Linked DNA regions of Schizosaccharomyces pombe. The protein of the gene in region 2 interacts with the protein of the main gene of each other region in a pairwise test. Each region holds a gene or a part of one and is shown on either strand. Other genes may lie near its edges. The genes, in order: dri1 and rhs1.

Region 1 (11,447 bases), on a different chromosome or scaffold from region 2:
ATAAGTCATCTACATATTTTTTAAACTTTGATATTTTGGGGTAGTATACTCATGATGGACTGTTGAGCGTAGATGAGTGATACAGACTTGGTGATACATGCAATTTAGATGAAACAGAGACAGGTGTACCATTGTAGAAATCAATAGTCAAATATTCGTGAGTAAACGAACCTTTAAGGAGTAAAAAAAGTTGTGAGCAACCTAGTAAATCTTTACGACTTTGGTTGCAATGTACTAAACATTTATTATGCTGTTGATCTTCTAGAATATATGAATGGTCAAGACAAAATGGCCAGCTGTTTCCCAGCGCTGGTTTGGAAAGGTGGAGTTGCTTTATGTACACAAGAGAAGTAGATAAGTATACTGCTAATCTGAATTTTCTGGTAAGGATTCGGCATTTTCTTCCTAAAGTCATCATGAATGCATGTGCAAAAGATATATTGCCCTGAGCCATTAACAAACCAATGGGATTAGAAAAGGAATCTATACACAATGCATATGCTTGATCTTCGGAGCTTTTGAGATTGCTTTCCAACTCATCAACTGCATCCTTCAATCCCTGAGCATCGAATGATCTAACCAACATAGTTTTTTCAAGACATGGAAGAGGGAGTGCAGCCGGATTGAAAGTACCTAAAGTATCAATCCACATAATTCTATCAAACCTAGAGTAATAACTTTTTAGAATCCAGTAAAGCATCAAGTTTGCAGAATTTCCACTAAATTGAGTAACCTGATTCATAATGTCAGAAAATATATAAGCTGCTTTAAGAATTTGCTTGGTATGCTTTAAACTTTCGATAGAATTGTTTTTTCCAACGATATTGATGATCAATGAAATTGATTTTTGCAATCATCCCCTGGTTATGCTAATGGCATTCTAAAAGAGATAAACACCCAAATGCGTTGAAGGAAAAGATACGTACAATCGTCAAAAATTTCCGGAATGTTCAACAAGTATTTAACTAATCATGAGTGTGTGTTGAATCTTATCTCATGTTTTTTGTTGAACTATCTACATGGATTATATTTAATTAGGGTATGGATTAAAGAAGCAGAAAGGTCGTCAACATTCGAGTACAGTATATAGCCACACTGGTGTGGATTTGTATATATTGAGAATAACCCTTTAAGAATAAAAAGAAAAAATAGAAAAGCATCAACTAACTGTTTTTAAATGCTACATATGCGAATTTAATTCTCTCTAATAATGCCATGTATTACAAGTAACCTCATGTATCGATTGATTTAATCATTATCGTTACAAAATTTTTATAAATTATATAATAAAAAAAAGGAATATTAACAATACATTATTTACCGAAGAACCCTATAAATTTGAACAGCACTGACAACTGTAAGAGGTAAACAACCATTTTTTCAAACGTTCAATGAGTGTGACACTCCAAAACAAATGAATCCCCAAATCCCAAATATGGGAGAGCTCTATACGATTGACTGCTGTTTTTTCCCCGAAAATTTCTTCAAGGTCAAAAATTAAATAGCACTAAATAGAAGAAAAAAACCCACCAAAGAAAATTATGAACTAATTTTGACCACACCTGTAATTCAATGTTTATGCAAAACCTTCATAAGAAAACCCAATACAACTTTTAAATTTTTGTTCCAATAGAGTTGCTTTTCAAAATGCTGCCTTTAAATAATAACAATTGTTTCATCAAATTTGCTCCTTCAAGACATAAGTGATTATTTTTATCGCACTAATCACTTGCATTTTTAGCTATAGTGTTTACCAAATATCCTTTGTACTACGGGACCTATCCATTAAATATAATTGTCCAACTTTACACGTAAGCATTGAAATCCGAAGGCAAGGATGCAGGAATCTGCATATTAGAGTAATGCGGAGCATTGCAACGGAGACAATTACTGCGGCGACGAAAATTAGTAAATCCACACTCACATAACCAATCGCCTTGATCAGTAGTAACGGAAGGACGTGATACTTCTTTAAAGCGTCCATGATCATCGAACCTAGATACATTACCACCATTTTGTCCCCCAAAATTTTGACCATGATTAGCCGTTACTGAATTTATAGAAAGTTGTGAGTAAGGATACACCGAATGATTAGGAGGACTTGTACTCATAACAGGGGGGATGTGAGAATATGAATTATGACTATACGAACCATTCACCGGCCCAGATGCATGATCTGCTACGACTGCAGCTGTAGCACGGCTAGCCCCACAGCGTAAGCAGCAAACATTTTTTGCGAAATTGTGATATCCACAACCCTCAGAGCCACATTTCCAATCACCAGCACGAAAAGGGACATTACCACCGAATGAGCGTGAAGAATGATGATGATTTACAGCATTATTGCCATTCTGATGCTGAAGATCACTTTGCATGGTATTTTCGTTAGAATGATGGACAGATCCACCATAGTTGGCAATAAAGTGAGAGGAGCCGTTGCCGTATGAATTTCCATAAGGGAAATCAGGTGAAAAAGTATTGCTACCAGTAGCAGCTGAAACATGAGTAGGACCAGGAAATGAGCATCGGAAACAAGACGTTCGACGTTGAAAATTGCTGAAACCGCACATTGGGCAATTCCAATCCCCAGGGCGTGGGCGATTCTTACTAGAAGGAAAAGGAATTAGAATGTCTGAAGCTTTATCTAAAACCTTTGTACTACTGGGAATAATTTCCAGCATCCGATCTCCTAAGCAATATCCATTAAAGGCAAGAGCATCGGCAGCATCTTCATGACTAGCAAATAGCACAAAACCTGTACCCGTAGATTTGTAAGGTTCGGGAGTCTTTAAAGTCCATAAAGCTACGGGATGAACCCCATGATTAGTAAACCAACTTTCCAACTCGAGCTGTGTTACATCGTTGGTCAAACCTGCAACGTGTACAATTTTTGACCGTTCTGCATAAAAGCTTCGTGCGTCTGCTTGACAGTTAATGGGTTGTGTAAGCACCGAAGGAAGAGAATGACCTCGAGAATCTTTCTCTGCTTTACGAAGCAATAAGGTGGTAGCATTTGCAAGGCGCCAGCATTGAGTAAGACCTTTGGTTATGTAAGGAGCATCTGAAGGTGATAATTCAATTGCTTTTGACTCTGTAATAGGTGGTAAAGAGTCGACATCTAATTTACCAAAAATATGAGAAAGCGTTATTGTGTATGGTGGTACTGCACCCATGCGAATCTGCCACTTGGCGTATTCGCTTGATAAATCAAACAAGCGAGGATGGCGCATGTAGGAAGGTAGCGTAATTCCCTGATCCCGTGCTTCTTTTGGCAATAATACACGAAGCTCTCTTCCATTCATAACAACAAATGTAAAAGGTTTTCCTTGGAAGTTTAATCGTTCTTGGATTGAATTATCCAATGTGAAGATAGCTTCAGTTAAGGAACTAGCAGAACCACAAATTCCATGACGAGAACTATCTTCACGAATACTACACGATTCACAGTGTTGTTTTTCCAAAGTTTTTCCATCTAATATAACCCAGCATATTTCATGAATTTCACATGGCGCCCGGCCAATGCTAATGCCGTGATCGTCAAGATTTGTTTCAAAGTGCAAAACAACCAAGTCGCCTACCGATTCTGGCAGAGGCATTGTTGGACTTGGTAGCTTTGACATGATATTGCAAAGCTACAAACCCGTTGGTGTTTTTCTTTGTCACTCACAAGTACAGTCACAAAAGTAACAAATCTAGATTTAGAATCCACCTAAGCGGAATTATTCAAAGGAGAAAAATCTTTTATGAACAATAATATGTACAACTGATGTTACTGTCGAATCGTGTATTGTTGTGGGATTCTTTTGCATGCAAAGCAGAAAATTTAGCAATACTTTCGAAACACAATGAAAATGAAAATTTTACGATAAATTATTATACCATAATTTAGCGCATCAAGCATTTGGTATTCTTATGTCAGCAATACTACACTACGTTGAGTATCACTATATGTCACATGTTCTAATTATATATCGTACCATGTATAATACGATATGGAGATTGATCTTAATGATAATCTATTAAGATCAATATTATCTGAATACTATAAATAGAGCTACTGCTGAACCTCGTTCCTCAGTTCAGTTATGAGCTATATTAGTGATAGTTAACATTATAACCCAGTTAATACAATACCTATACTCAGTTGCTACTTATACAACCTGTGTATTGTAATATAATAGATCACAAGGAAAACTCACCGCAGTTCTACGTATCCTTAAATCAGATACCAAACTGCGTAGCTTACATCTTATGAACAATACCGGGGTTTTTTGTAACCACGTAAACAATCAAAGAACTGTTGTTTATTTTGACAATTGTATCAGGAAGTCAAGGGAAAAGTTATACTGAAAAGCCATCCATTGAAAAGTATTTGTACATCTTGCTACATAAAAAAGCTGATAGTAATTTACTTACACAACTGATAATTTACTAAATTACCGTCATTTCAATTAGAGTTGGTGTAATGTAGCAAAACATAAATTTATCAGCAATAACTCTACAATCGATAAAATGCGACCAAGTTATAGCTTAAAATTGATACAACGAATTTTATACGGACAAATAAAGGGTTAAAATTTACGTTAAGGATTTATTAAATGCCTTCCGTACAACCTAAATGAAGACTAAGAGTAATATAACGCAACGTTAATCAGCTTAGCGATTCTAAATGTGCTCTTTATTATTTGATGTGAACTGCAATAGTAAAAATCTTTGTCACCGTTAGCCTAATCGTAGATTGTATTAATCAAAGTAGCACAAAGCAAATTTTTCAAAACCTTTGAAAAATATTCAAATTCAGCTTTGTGTAGAATACACACTAGACTACAACGATGGCAGGAATAGAATCAAAGCAAAGAAGAGCTCAGAAAAAGGCAGCTAAAGCTGCTATGAAGGAAAAGAAAAACAAGGAAAGCAATGAATCTTCTACTTCTGTTGAGGCATTAAATGAGAAAGAAATGATCAATACCATTAAATCTCCTATTATTGAAACAGCTGATACAGCTGATCAAGAGAACGAATCTGAGGGATCAGATGAAGTTGAACTTTCTGATCTTGAAGGAATTGAGTTGGAAGAAGACGCTGATTTGATTAGAAAAAGAAAATTAGCTATAAATAACACTGTTGCACTAGAGAACATCTATGAACGAATTAAATATCCTGATGATATTTCGTTTGTTGAAAACCAAGCTGTTACTACTAAGGAGCCTATAATAATTGAAAATGTTGAGGATGATCTTGCCCGTGAACTGGCCTTTTATAAACAAGGTGTGAGCTCTGTAAAGGCGGCTTTTGCCAAACTTCGTGAGGCGAATGTTCTAATTTCCCGACCTCATGACTATTTTGCGGAAATGTTAAAGTCCGATGACCACATGGAGAAAGTGCGTCAAGAGTTGATTAAAGAAGCAACCGCTAAAAAACTATCCCAGCAAGCTAAGAAACAACGAGAACTCAAGAAGTTTGGTAAACAAGTTCAGCTTGCTAAACAAGAAGAGCGTCAACGGGAAAAAAAGGAAACCCTCGAAAAAATTAACCTTCTCAAACGAAAGCATACTGGAGGAGATCTTACCACTGAAGATGACTTTGATATTGCTCTTTCATCAGCCTCTGCCGATACATTTAAAAAAGGTAGCCGTAGTACGAAATCACGGCCACAGCCTAATCCGAAGCGACAAAAGAAAAATGAAAAGTATGGATTTGGTGGTCCAAAGCATCGCAGCAAAAGCAATGATCTCGACAGTCTTGCTGCTACCGAATTTGGGAGAAAAGGTCTTAAAAACATTAAATCTAAAAAACGTCCCGGTAAGGCGCGACGTGAAAAGGCTAGAAAATAATTGGGGTTTATAAGGGGTCTATAAATAACTATATCTTAGGTTTAATATCATTATTTCTTCTTTACAATAGGTATGTTTCGTACTTCAGTCGAGTTTGAAGGCGATATATTATAAGAAGAGCAACAAGAATTTTGCAAAAAAAATGAACAGTTATAAATATTAAATTATGTAATATACAATTAGAGCCGATCACACAATAAATTCTAAAAAAATATCAAATTCTTGCACCGTTTTACCCAAATCGGTTAAATTTGTTTTACTAAATTTCTAGATTACATTGAGGAACGGCTATGGAAATTAGATTCGAATGAAGAACTTGCAAGTTTCAATAAATTGCATAGTTCCACCCAGGTCTAAGCAGTTAGAAATAATAAATATCTCATGAATACTTACCGTTTCAAAAAAATTTGAATCCTTAAGATCCTCATATATGCTTTCAACAATATTTTTTCCTTGCTCGCTAGTGTTAGAAGCTTCACGAAATTTGAGTTCAACTTGTATATGTCGACTAACTTTATATTCCCAATGATATATGCTGTGTGCAATTCTAGCACGATTAAAGCAACTGTTTCCTAGCATCCACGCTTCTTTAGTGATCGGTTCAAAACTGTCTAGCTCCTTTAGAAAGTTAGTAGCCCGCTAGTGTTGAGAAAATCAATTCATACTTTATAGTTATGCTCATTATAAGGCATTCCTTTAAAATAAACAATTTGCGTTGACATTCTGGTGTGAATATTACATGCATCACAGCCATAAGTAGCATCGATCTTGGCACTTTTCATATTTGGTACAGTCTTGATTAGTTTAATGAACTCTGATTGCCAAATGCTTGAGATGATATTCGAATCAACTGATGAATATAACTGTTTACGAATAGTTCGACGGCTAAACAAATAATGATCAGATATATCAGAAGCGTCTATTGGATCAATAGCCTGCTGAACTATAAACATCATAAAGTTTCGAAAGTGTGCTTTTAAACCTTGATGACTTGTCATTGAAAACTCTGCAGGAAGTAAACTTCGAGCATTCATCATTACCTCTGTATCCTCATCATCCACTATAAAATCGTCTTCTTCTGATTCATTAGCCAATTCAGATTTGGTAATCAATGTATCAGATTTTTCGGAAGTCAGAGATTCAAGTTTGCTATAACTTCGATCTTAATTATTCGTTAATAAAAGAACAAAAAAATTACTTACTTCTTAAACTATGTAGTTTTTCATAAAATGCCTTCTTCGAAGGATTTCGAAATCTTGGCACTTTTTCTTCGAAACCTTCATCAATAGGGTCCAAATCTTGAACCTCTTGTTCTAATTCATTTAAATTCTCCATTTCTTCTGTTGATCTAATTATGGGCTTCAACAAATCTTCAGGAGATGAACTTTCATCATCTTCAGAAGATGAGCTCAAAACTTTCCTTTTTCGTTTTATTCGAGAAAACTGTCTTGCAACGTTTTTTGAACCAGAATCGCTCTGTCGCTCGGTATCAGAATCGGAATATAGTATATTAGAAGACAGCTTCGTCTTTCTCGTAATCGTAACATTTTCTTCTCTTGGAATTCCAGTGTCGGAATCCTCCGAATCAATGACAAATCCTTTTCGTTTCTTTCGACTTCCCATGTTTTCTCCCTTTATTTTATCACTAGTGGGTAATTCTTCCAAGTTGGATTCACCTAAACTATCGTTGCCATAAGTAGATGACAGTGACCCGGTGATATCTTCAAGACATACAGGCGAATCTTCATGTGAATTAATCGCAACCTCATTTTTTGAGTCGTGCTTGTCTAAACAAAGAAACGGAACGTTGACGGTTTCGTGAATATCGGAGAAAGTAATAAGCGGTTTGCTGATTTGGTTCTCATAATTAACGCTTGAAGAATCTTTATCTAACTTTAACTTTTCGGCATTGCTTTCTTCTTTCTTTGGAGTATTATTATCAATAATTACCACCGGAACTAGTCTGTTCGTGTTATCACTAGGCTCACTTGACGAAGATGCTTGAGTTTGAGTGGTTCTAAAATTATCTCGAGAAGAAAATTGGGATTCTTTTAATTTTTTGTTCCCTCTACTGCGTGAATTTGAATTCGATTTCATAGCTCCTTTGTTCTTTTTAAGCACAACATTGCTCTTTCGCTTTACAAACCTAGTTATCGGATACTTTTGAACATCATTTCTCTGTACATTGTCTTGATTTGATACCATAAATTAGGGGAATGTTTTAAGTTGACAGATTTGTCGACTAATAGTTTCAGTAGTTTGTTATACGTGAAAAACCAATATAGTATACCAAAAAGTAGAAAAAATAGTAAAAAAAGCTTTTACGTTTTTTGGATGAATTATATTCAATTTTAGTAACCTTCGATTGACTCAAATATAACTTAGTTGTGTTTCAGACAACACTACGAGGTGCATGCCTGATGTGTTGATCCTACCATCAGCCACTATACCATGGTTTACCTGCAAACTGTGAATGAGTTCTTCACACAGTCAAAATCATTAACGGAGGCTTATCCAAAAACGGTATGGTGTTGATGATATCTTTGATAATCAAACTCTGACTTTTTTCATTTAGACCAAACTTAGTATCAAATATCGCACGAATGAGCAGAGTCAAAATTATTTAATCGCGAAAGCCTTTGAAAGTGCTTCTGGAATATGTCTAAAATATAGGACTGACAAGGCGGCTGAACTTGGCAGATTACTTCTAATTGCAAACAAACTTAGTTATGTCTCCACAGGTAACGAAATTCCTCCTGAACCAGGTATGTATTATTAGTATATCAATTGTTTTTGCATTGTTATAAAAAGAAGCGCTTGGAAGGAAGATGTTTTCCTTTAAAAGTAGTTATTAATGTAACTATGCTCTTCTAATTTTTACGTTTCGCTAACAGTCATGTTATATAGAACAAGAGGTAGTGGCTTCTCCGGTTACAGAGCAAAAGAAAGCGGAGCCTTCCGCTCCTCCTAAGGGTTCAAAGAAAAAAAAAAGGGGGAAGAAGAAATGAGTGTAGCACTTGGCGTGTTTTTTTTTTTCATTTTGTTCATTTAGTGTCACGTTAGATATCTTAGGATCGGATTAATTCTTTACTTTTATCTTACAATAGCAATTCTCTCGGTTTATCAATAAAGGTAAAAAGGATAATTTGCAGTGTAAGTCAGTCGTTCTGTACTTTCTTATTCGACCAACATGAATAATGGCCCCTTCTTTCTTAATATCATTTTTTATTTGCAAATGCTATACATAATCAAAAGGATGCATTCGCATTGGTATTACCGATGTGATTGGTTATAAAAGTATAACAAGCATGTGTATTCATTTACAGGTATTTCAAGTGCTAAAATATAATATTTCCTTTATGCACAGTTGGTAACATATTATTTAGTACAAAAATCTTTATTCGGTGAATTTCATTATTCATTCGCTAGGACAGATCGTTTAGACAAGGATGAAAAGTTTTACTGCATTAGCAAATAAGTAAAAAAAGTTGATGTTTCTGCTTTTAAAATATCGTTTGTTTACAGTTACCGATTGCACAAAAACTAGTTTACTACAGTGTGAACTTCATATTCAATATACAAGCAATTTTCCTTTTAAAGTTTGCTAGAGCAACTTTTTTAATATGGATATGTATAGACACAACTTCATTTTCACCTTAATAGTATCTTTATTTAAGTTTATCACATTTTGTTTACCATTTTGTTCATAAACCAATTTATGTAGGTTGAGAGAATTAGCATCATAGTTCAAAAATTCTTATTATGTTAATCTATGATTGATCTAAACAAAATTATTATCATCAATTATCTCCAAAGCTATTGAGTAAACGTTTTTGTTTAATTATGAGAAATATATTACTGCCTGCTTAATTTCCACCTTCCAGTGCTGTGGGCATTAACACCAAAAAATCGGCAACTCAACAATTATTTGAGCATTAGGAGTGCCTTTCTTTATTTATTATTGGGATACTCAGGGGCTTAATTTTTTATTTTTTAGCAACGGATTGGTTTTCTTTTGATCCTTTATTATTAGCCTACAAATATATTTGTTAAATTACAGCCTTTTTTTTACCTTACCTATGGGCTTACTGGAATTCTAACAGAAGCTAAAAGATACTTTCATTTTCTTTCAAAAGCATAATTGATTGCTTTATAGGTAATCTTGTTGGACAATCTGAAGTGTTTTCTATTCAGATTACTGTTTGCTACTACTATAAGTGTTCTCGTGTTCCTTCAATCACTGTTATTGATCCAAGATATTTGGACATTTGATGCTAAATCTTATTTACATGTAATTTTGTTTGTAGTAAGAAGTTGAAAACGTTCAGTTTTAACAATTTTTTTATGTTTAGGCATTTGGTACGAAAAGTTTTGTCCTTCCATTTATCTTTTTAATCCCCTCTTTATTTAACTTAAACACTTTCAGGGATTCTACATGCCTAACTCAACTGCCCAATATCCGGAAAAGGATTCATGGGAATTCTTAGTCAAATCTGGAATTGCTGGTGGTACAGCTGGATGCGTTGCAAAATCAGTAGTTGCCCCATTAGATAGAGTGAAAATCCTTTACCAAACCAATCACGCTTCTTATCGAGGGTATGCTTATTCACGGCATGGGCTTTATAAGGCTATCAAACACATTTACCACGTCTATGGCTTACACGGTCTTTATCAAGGCCACACTGCTACTTTATACAGAGTCTTCCCTTATGCGGGCATTAAATTTGTTGCATACGAACAAGTACGGCGTGTTTTAATTCGTGACCCTGAACATGAAACACATGCTCGGCGATTTTTATCAGGATCACTTGCCGGAACTTGCTCTGTTTTTTTTACATACCCGTTAGAGCTGATTCGTGTTCGTTTAGCCTACATAACCAATACAGGGAAGAATCCTACCCTAACTCAAGTTACAAAAGATATATTTCACGAACGTGATTTTTTGTGCAATAAGAAGTATCCTGGGTTATCCCGTTTGTCAAAAATCTGTAATTTTTATCGTGGATTTTCTGTTACGTTAACTGGAATCTTTCCATATGCTGGTATGTCGTTTCTTGCCTACGATCTTGCAACTGATTTTTTTCATAAACAAAAAATTGACGAATGGGTTTCTACAAAAAAGTCAGATAAAAAACTTAAAACTTGGCCCGAACTACTTTGTGGAGCATTTGCAGGAGTTTGTGGTCAAACGGTTTCTTACCCATTCGAAGTTTGTCGACGAAAAATGCAAATTGGTGGTATCAGAAAAAATAAATCATTTCTTAGACTTAAGCAGGTAGTACAAACTACTTACAAAGAAGCCGGTATGAGAGGTTTTTTCGTTGGACTTACCATAGGTTACATTAAGGTTATCCCAATGGTAAGCACTAGCTTTTTTGTTTACAATCACAGCAAAGCGCTTTTAGGGATAGATTGAGACTGCAGACATAGTTTTCTATGAAAAAAATTATCCCTTTTTTAAAAATTTATAAAAAAAGATCTACGGGATTATAGGTGTATGATATATTCATTAGTTGCAGATTGTTACATCGTGACCATGCAATGAAAGAGATGTATTTTATTAAAACGGAACAAGAAATAGCAACCCAAAGTCAAATAACACGTTTTTTCTAA
Region 2 (7,814 bases):
GTAACTAAATATTCTAAATGATAGTTTAACAATAAATGAAACGTATGGTAGAAAATTAGAAAAATTCCAATAATTTGATACATACTGTTGCAAAGTCTGATGCAATTCCTGCGAGACAACTTGCGCCAAGTCAGAAGGAGGGCCAGGTTTAAATTTGCTACTGCAAAGAGGTGATAATTCAAGATTGGGAACAATCCAACCTTCATTGGGAGAGTTTTCAAAAGGTTCAGCAATTTCTGCTTTTATTCCACACACAAAGACATTTTCGCCAGCTCGAATGATAGCACTACCATTAGCAGTAGATATGCAATTATCATTAATTACAATTTCTCTGAATTCTGATACAGACCGCCCATCTGATCGAACATCCTGATTAAGAAGATGTGATAAATACTGCTCAGGCGTGATTTTCTTAAAAATTCTATCCAGTAAAATGTTAGTACTGTAACAAAGAAAAACAAAGTGAAAAGGAAACAGAGCACTAAAAAAGATAGAATAAGAAATCAAAGAGCAACTTACGAAGGTGTAAATGAAAGCTGTTTTACCCCCGAAACAGTTTTCATGATGTGAAAAGAATGTAGTGTTTCAATAACGAAGCTAAATGATATAGTAACGTAGAAAGACCAAATAACTGAAGAACGATACTGAAAAATATATAAAATGAATATGAATCACAAGAATTCGATATATGTGCTGAATTTTGTCTACAGGTTGAAATTATGAAATGGAGTAGAGGGATGAAATAGGTGTACGAAGTAAAGTATGAAAAACTTATATGGTAAATAAAAGGTTTGTGAGGTCCTTAAAATGTTTAAATTCCTTGGTTTTTTTTTAATTTATTGAAGGTATATTCGGTGCAAATTTCAATTAAGGATTGATAATTCATTTGAATTTTAGCTACAAAATCCCAATTCGTTTAAACGATTTTGAAAAAAGAGATCACATAATTAACATTTAAAAATGCTAATTCGAAAAAAATTTATTTAAGGCCTTTTCTACTGATTTTTTTTTTTTTAAAAAAAGGTAAAATAACAAAATTTACAATGATCCATGGTTAAAGAAAATAAGGCATAATTAAACAATTAAAAGTCAGCAGAATACATACGGAATTTGGTAAGTAGCATAATATATAGCTCTTAAATTAAAGTAAGTTATTTGGGTGCATGTTTATATTTCAAAATTTGCACACTCTTAGTTTATCGGTTGTTAGACGAAGCAAAAGTCTTATATTAATAAAAAAAAGGAAAAGTTTTTTTCTATTAGATTATAGTTAAAGGAAATTAAAAAAAAAAGTCAGTAAACACACTTAATATCGCGCCAGGTACAATGACCTTTCCTTAACCTCTAGCCTACGAACACAACAGCCGGATGCTAAACCTTCTGAGGAAATGATGCTATGAATGATTCTGAGGAAGAATTAGAGCAGCAAGGAAGTCAAGAGGATATTTCCTCTTCTCAGGATACTTCGGATGAAAAAGAAATGCGAAAGCAAGATGCTCTATACGCACAGCTAATAGAGTATCGAGAAATTGTTTCCGAACTGAGAAGATCTGAGATGAAAAATTTGTGTATTCAACTTTATTGCAGTTATAAAGCTGGTATAACTCGTCGAAATGAATTGCAAAGCGATTTGGACGGTTATGAACGAAGGATTCCACCACGTCTACGTGCAGTATGGCCTACAATTCATTCCATCCCCGATGAATCATTTTTTGATGGAACCTCGGCTTCGAGGTTTCGCCAAGAGGCTGCATATTTGGCTGTGCGTTTAGCATCAAAAAAATTACACAAGTTGGGTAGAATGGCTTCTTCTGAGGAACTGCCTAATCCGGATGGCCTCCGATACTTGGTTGAAAGGTTACAGATAAAATTGGAACGCCTTTTTGATTCGGTTGATACTTTTCGACAAGAACAGGGAAGCAAAAGCATGCAATCACGTGTAAAGCCTATGGATTGGAAGATTCTTTACGGACTTGCTCGAGTCACAAACGGTTCGTTTTCCTCGTCGCAAAAAGCAGACGTTCTTGCATTGGGCAATGGTACAAGAGCTTGTCAATCATTATTCAAAGAGATGTCGTTACAACCTAGTATTGATATTGAAAAAGTTTCACACTCTAACCCAGAAATCTCGATAGAATTTGAGGATTAAGAAATTGGTGGGAAATTTAATAAGTATGAGTATTTTGAAAAAAAACACGCATCTGTGAACAGGTCAATCTGCGTAAGTCTCAACAATTAATGTTCCAGTAAACATCTTTTGGCTGATGTATATGTTTAATTATTTGTGTAACTCCCGCCGTATTTGCACATATAGTTTTTCTGCATCCGAATTTCTTTTCTTTTTTTTTAAGTTATTTTGTTTTTGCGTTGATCTAGGAAAAAGGTTCTACGCAACAAGAATATTGTTTCAACTTTATCATGCTTACAAGTTCATCCTACACTTTAAACTGGAAGTGGCAAGTATTTGCTGAGGTTAAATCTTTACTGTTATGATACTGTTTTCCAATATATCTAAGTTACACAGTTTTACTAAATTGTATAAGCTATTTAACAGTCTATGCAAAGCTGATGGTGTGTTCGTTTAAAATAAGGGCGGCACGTGGTACTGTAACTTGAAGTCCGATGTAGAAAAAATGTGGAGATTAAGTGATAACAAATACTACGGAAATAGTAAAAAAGTCATAGAGAAGCGAAGAACGAACAGTTGCCGGATGGCAACCCAGTTACAATAGACTATCGATTACAAAAGTTAGCGAAATATTGGGAGCGGCTCCTTGGTAAACGCTGTGAAAGGAACCTATCCAAAGCAAACCACAATTGGCAGGAAATTTTTTTTGAAGTAAACAACGTTTGGTTAAAACTTTGAAAATAGGCCAATTTCAAAAAAACAACGAGTTGTCTTTATGTCGTTTGTAGATGGAGTCAACAGTTGGTTTTCGGCCGCTTCTTATTGGGATGGGCTCGGTCCAACAAATGTTGTTCAGCCAGAGGACGATTTGGCTTTTGTAAGTCAATTTGAAGAAGTTGAATCGGCTTATGACAATCTCGTAAAAAATGGTATGATTGCACCTCGTCGAAAAAATAGTTTTGCCTCCTCAGTGAACAACCCCTTTTCGACGAGTGCATTGAGCGAAGCCTTAAATGGCAGTGTTTCAATGAGTCATGTTCCCAGCTCTGGTTTGTTAAAAAGCACACTTTCGAGCACCCCTACTGCAGGCTCTAATCTGCTGGGTACGTCTCCTGCTGAACCGGCAAGTGGTTTGGTCGGTTCTAGTGGTTTTGGTTCCAGCATGCTCGGAAGCTCGTTACCAGGTAATGCTACTTCCAATTTCGGTTCACAAGCTAGTACCTCATTACTACATCCCAGGAGATCCACAACGTCTTTGCTCTCTAGTAGTGCTCATCATTCACGTTCTTCGTATTATGATCTTGCTACTCCGACACGCTCCTCCTTTTCTTACAATACTGTCGGTGCTGCTAGTTTACCATCTGGTGGGCTTTCTAATCTCTCCTCTTCATTGCGTTCTTCTTCAAAATCGGCTGGGTTTTCGTTGTTTGAATCTGCTTCAAATAGCTTTACGCCCTCTTCTTTCATAGAGTCCGCTAACATGGAATCTTTATCGATTCCTTCTCGTCGTCGACCTTCATCGATAGCTCCGATCGGTACGCGTCCTTCTCGTAAAGAGATCGCATTCAGTAATAGTTCTACTCCTACTGACCAAACGCTGAGGCCTCCAAATCCACCGGCTGCCAATGGAAATGCCACACCAGTTACAGCAGTGAACAATGTTTCTGCTGTTGCTGATTCTCCGCAGTCCACTGGCTCTTCTGTTTCTTCTTCACTACCAACACTAAGTTTGGACTTCAAGCAAGAATACAGCGGGAACAATCATGATATGTCTGGATTGTCTTCCTCTCTATCTAAATCTCATAACTCAACTTCTGCTTTAAGTTCTCAGATTTGGTCTTCTCCCTGTGCCAGTACTCTTGGAGGTGTCAACGTGTGGTAATTGCTACATTTTCTTGATGCGGAACTTTCTTGGACACGGAATAGTATTTTATTTATAGGTTGAGCTTTGAAGGTTGTGATCTATTACTTTATAATTTTAATTCTTTTGCATTTGTGGGCATTCTGTTGTTTTAAAGCGCTCATTGGAAACTTATTCGAATAAGATAAGGAAATCTAATATTGGTGCTGATGATTTCTATCCTAATATTGTGAGCATAAGATATTTCTTTATTTTCTAAAAATGGAAAACAGAAAAATTGTAACTTTTTTGTTAAATAAGTTGCCGGCAATTTTTTAATTCGCTTTCACTTTTATGTTTTTTAAAAGTGTTTCACGAATTGTCGACGTTGCTTAAAGGTATGGTTTTTTTTCCTAAGAACTTTTGAGTGTGGGAAGGGTTTTTGCTTGGTTGAATAGTTTGTTTTGTGAGAAGGTTCTGGATTGAAGAAAATGTCAAGTTACTTGACTATTACTTTCGGCACATAGGTTTATGGTGATAAATCTTTGCATTTTCTTGACAAAAGAGAGGACAGTGGTTAAAAATGGGAGAGTTAGATATTTCTATTGGTATTTAGTTTGAACTATCAAAGTTAGGGGATTCTTATCGTACATGGGTATACTACTCTTGAGTGCATCGCATGCTTCTTGTCACAGCAAACGGCATGGTCAATCGCATTTGAGTCTAGGTTGTTGGTTTTTATGATATTACGTCTGTGCAGAAGTTTTGTCTTTCACAGGCCATCGTGCTCTTTATCTGGATTTATTTCAGGGGGGTGAATCAACAGCATAAAGATGTAAATATTTTTTTAAAATTTTAAGTAGCCAAATTTCAAAATCAATTTTATTTTACTTGATAAACTAGATTTGGTTAGAAATTATTTTTTTTATTAATAATTTATAGTATTTAATTCACATATATAAAGCAAACCTGGACTTCATTGTACTCTTTCATGTTAATTAGTGATGATTTAAGTTAATGAATAGTAACATTTATTGGCCGTTATTTCGCTCGCATAAAGTTGGTACAAATTACTACCGATTCGGAAGCGTTGTTCGCTATATGTGAGAAATTTAAAAGGTGAACATTATATAAAGAAAATTAGAATACAAATAATAGATATGGTGAAGATTCTTAAAAAAAAAAAATTAAGAGTAGTCAGTAATCGTGAATGTAGTAATGCTAGTTAATTGACATTCTAGGAGGTAAAAAAAAAAGTATCCGTCTCCCATACATCCGTAACTAAATTACACGAGATAGCAAATCTATAGACAATTTGGAAATTGATTAGGTTCGCCTCTATTGCTTAACCGCGATAGGCACTTAACCTTGTTCAATTAATATTTTTAGAATATGTCTGATAGTAAACTCGAGAGAGACAACATTATTCGAACATTGTAAAAAACTTCCAAATTTATACTAATAAACCTTACTTAGTTAAATATCAAGCCAGAAAACCCATGACTCTTGAAATTCTTTAGTTGGTTTTAGCTAAATTAATGAAACACAAATTTAATTAAAAAACATAAATAAATCAATTTTATACTCGATTACTTCTACTTCAAGTATCAGGTTACACACATCGAACGCAATGGCAATCATTTCAAAACAGCTTTGTAGATTTTAAAAGATTAAGTAGAAAGTCTTGCGACTTCTAATCATATAAATCCATACCTCTTAATTATGCAATTTCCAATGGTAATATATATTCTAATATGCAGTTAGCTTCCTACTCCTAAAAGCGCTTTGGACCCTTATGTATTTCTTTAACCGATGTTAATAATACATTGGCAATATTTAATAGCAGATGATCAAAAAGGATTCTGCATTTATAAGTTAATCCATGATACATACAGACAACAGTCTTTTCTAAAACGGAATAATGGGGCGCAACCATTACTTCACTGCTTCTAGCTTATTTCTCAAAACACAACCCAATCTCTGTCCAATCTAATTATGTTAATAAATTTCGTAATTAGTAAAAAACCAATTGACAGGATGCTTCCAATTATTTAGACAGATAATAATTTTTTGAAACAATAAATTTAATTAATAACGAAACACACTCACTGCCTCTGTTTACCTAGCTTGTTAGCGGCTTTTTAAAACAATATACTGTGGTAAAGATTTTAATGACCTATATATAATCTTATTAGATATTCTTATCACAAAAAGTAACTATTATCCTTCTAGTAATATAATGAAACAACTACAATCAAACAAAAAACAGCCAGCTGGATATATTTTTTTAATGAAAATATAAAGAATGATTTTTTTTAATCTATAATTATTTAAATTTTGTGAGCATTATCTTTCGTACTACAAGACCAATTTGTTAGTAACAAAAAAAATCTGGGATACAATAGCTTACATAGCGCGAAAAGAACGTAATGCAATTTTGTTTTAGGATTTTAATATTGTATATATCGTTAAGCATAGATAACAATTACTTGGTTACTACGTTAATATCTCTGAAGGAAAATGTTTTTTTGCATATTTTTACTCTAACCTTTCTCTTCAAAGCTTTCCTTTTAAAAATGGCGAAACGATCAGTGGAAGAGTTAAAAAGATCGGCGGATGAAGAAGCTTCTGTTAAGCGAAAGGAGAAGAAATCAAAGCATGAGCATAAGAAGCATAAAAAAGATAAGCCCTCTGCCGACAAGGATAGAATTTCAAAAAAGGATAAAAAGAAATCAAAGAAAGGAAAATCAAAAACTAAAGAAGAATCGATAGAAATCAATGCGGAAGAGGGAGCAAAAATCGCACAACCCGCGATCGGCTCAGCTAACGCTTCTAATCATAATGATGAAGAAGCGTATGACCGTTACATTAAGAAGCATAATATTTCTTTTGCGGATCCTAAATCCTCTGAAAATTTACTTCCAATTCTTCAGTTCGATGAACTAGACGTTTCAGCTAAGTTACGCGAGGGTTTAAAGAATTATAAGGAACCTACGCCTATTCAAGCTGCTACTTGGCCTTATTTACTAGCTGGGAGAGACGTGGTAGGAATTGCTGAAACCGGTTCTGGTAAGACTGTTGCATTCGGAATTCCTGCTTTGCAATACCTCAATGGTTTGTCAGATAACAAGTCTGTCCCTCGTGTTTTGGTAGTTAGTCCTACTCGAGAATTAGCCATTCAAACGTATGAAAACCTCAATAGTCTTATTCAAGGTACCAACTTAAAAGCTGTGGTTGTTTATGGCGGCGCCCCTAAATCGGAGCAAGCGAGGGCTGCCAAGAACGCCAGTGTCATTATTGGTACCCCTGGTCGTTTGTTGGATCTGATTAACGATGGCTCGATTGATTGTTCTCAAGTTGGTTACCTTGTTTTAGATGAGGCAGATCGTATGCTTGACACTGGATTCGAACAAGATATCCGTAACATCATCAGCCATACCCCAGATCCCACTCGTAATGGATCCAGACAAACTGTCTTTTTCAGTGCTACTTGGCCTGAATCCGTTCGCGCTCTTGCTGCTACCTTTTTAAAGGATCCCGTTAAAATCACTATTGGAAGTGATGAACTAGCTGCTTCCCAAAATATCACACAGATTGTTGAAATTCTGGATGACCCAAGAAGCAAGGAGAGAATGCTTGATAATCTTCTCAGAAAGCATCTTTCTTCTGGAGGGAAAGACGATAAAATCCTCATATTTGTTTTGTACAAAAAAGAAGCAGCTAGAGTTGAAGGTACCTTGGCTAGGAAATATAACGTGGTGGGCATTCATGGTGATATGTCCCAGGGAGCCCGATTACAAGCATTAAATGACTTTAAGTCTGGAAAATGTCCCGTACTAGTAGCAA

The links.
Region 1: the proteins of rhs1 (region 2) and dri1 interact in a two-hybrid assay, tested with the Schizosaccharomyces pombe proteins (one large-scale study listed by BioGRID).

What each region holds. Positions count from the first base shown.
Region 1 is NC_003424.3:2,008,100-2,019,546, forward strand, and holds dri1 (RNA-binding protein involved in heterochromatin assembly Dri1), read right to left. Parts: upstream 3,607-11,447; 5' UTR 3,597-3,606; coding exon 1,806-3,596; 3' UTR 1,246-1,805; downstream 1-1,245. Other genes in the region: rdl1 (RAD51D-like protein 1), read right to left, coding at 50-742; rRNA processing protein Ebp2, read left to right, coding at 4,833-5,834; SPOM_SPAC17H9.06C (uncharacterized protein), read right to left, coding at 6,107-6,187, 6,228-6,452, 6,500-6,996, 7,037-8,039; signal recognition particle subunit Srp21, read left to right, coding at 8,286-8,357, 8,410-8,599, 8,742-8,842; leu5 (coenzyme A transporter), read left to right, coding at 10,270-11,250. UniProt on the Schizosaccharomyces pombe protein: Mediates heterochromatin assembly by promoting RNAi-mediated heterochromatin silencing and histone deacetylation. Binds pericetromeric transcripts and recruits the RNA-induced transcriptional silencing (RITS) complex to heterochromatin.
Region 2 is NC_003423.3:3,332,207-3,340,020, forward strand, and holds rhs1 (protein rhs1), read left to right. Parts: upstream 1-2,803; 5' UTR 2,804-2,903; coding exon 2,904-4,010; 3' UTR 4,011-4,943; downstream 4,944-7,814. Other genes in the region: exosome subunit Rrp43, read right to left, coding at 86-421, 520-563; RNA polymerase I upstream activation factor complex subunit Acr1, read left to right, coding at 1,397-2,149; putative ATP-dependent RNA helicase Dbp3, read left to right, coding at 6,545-7,814.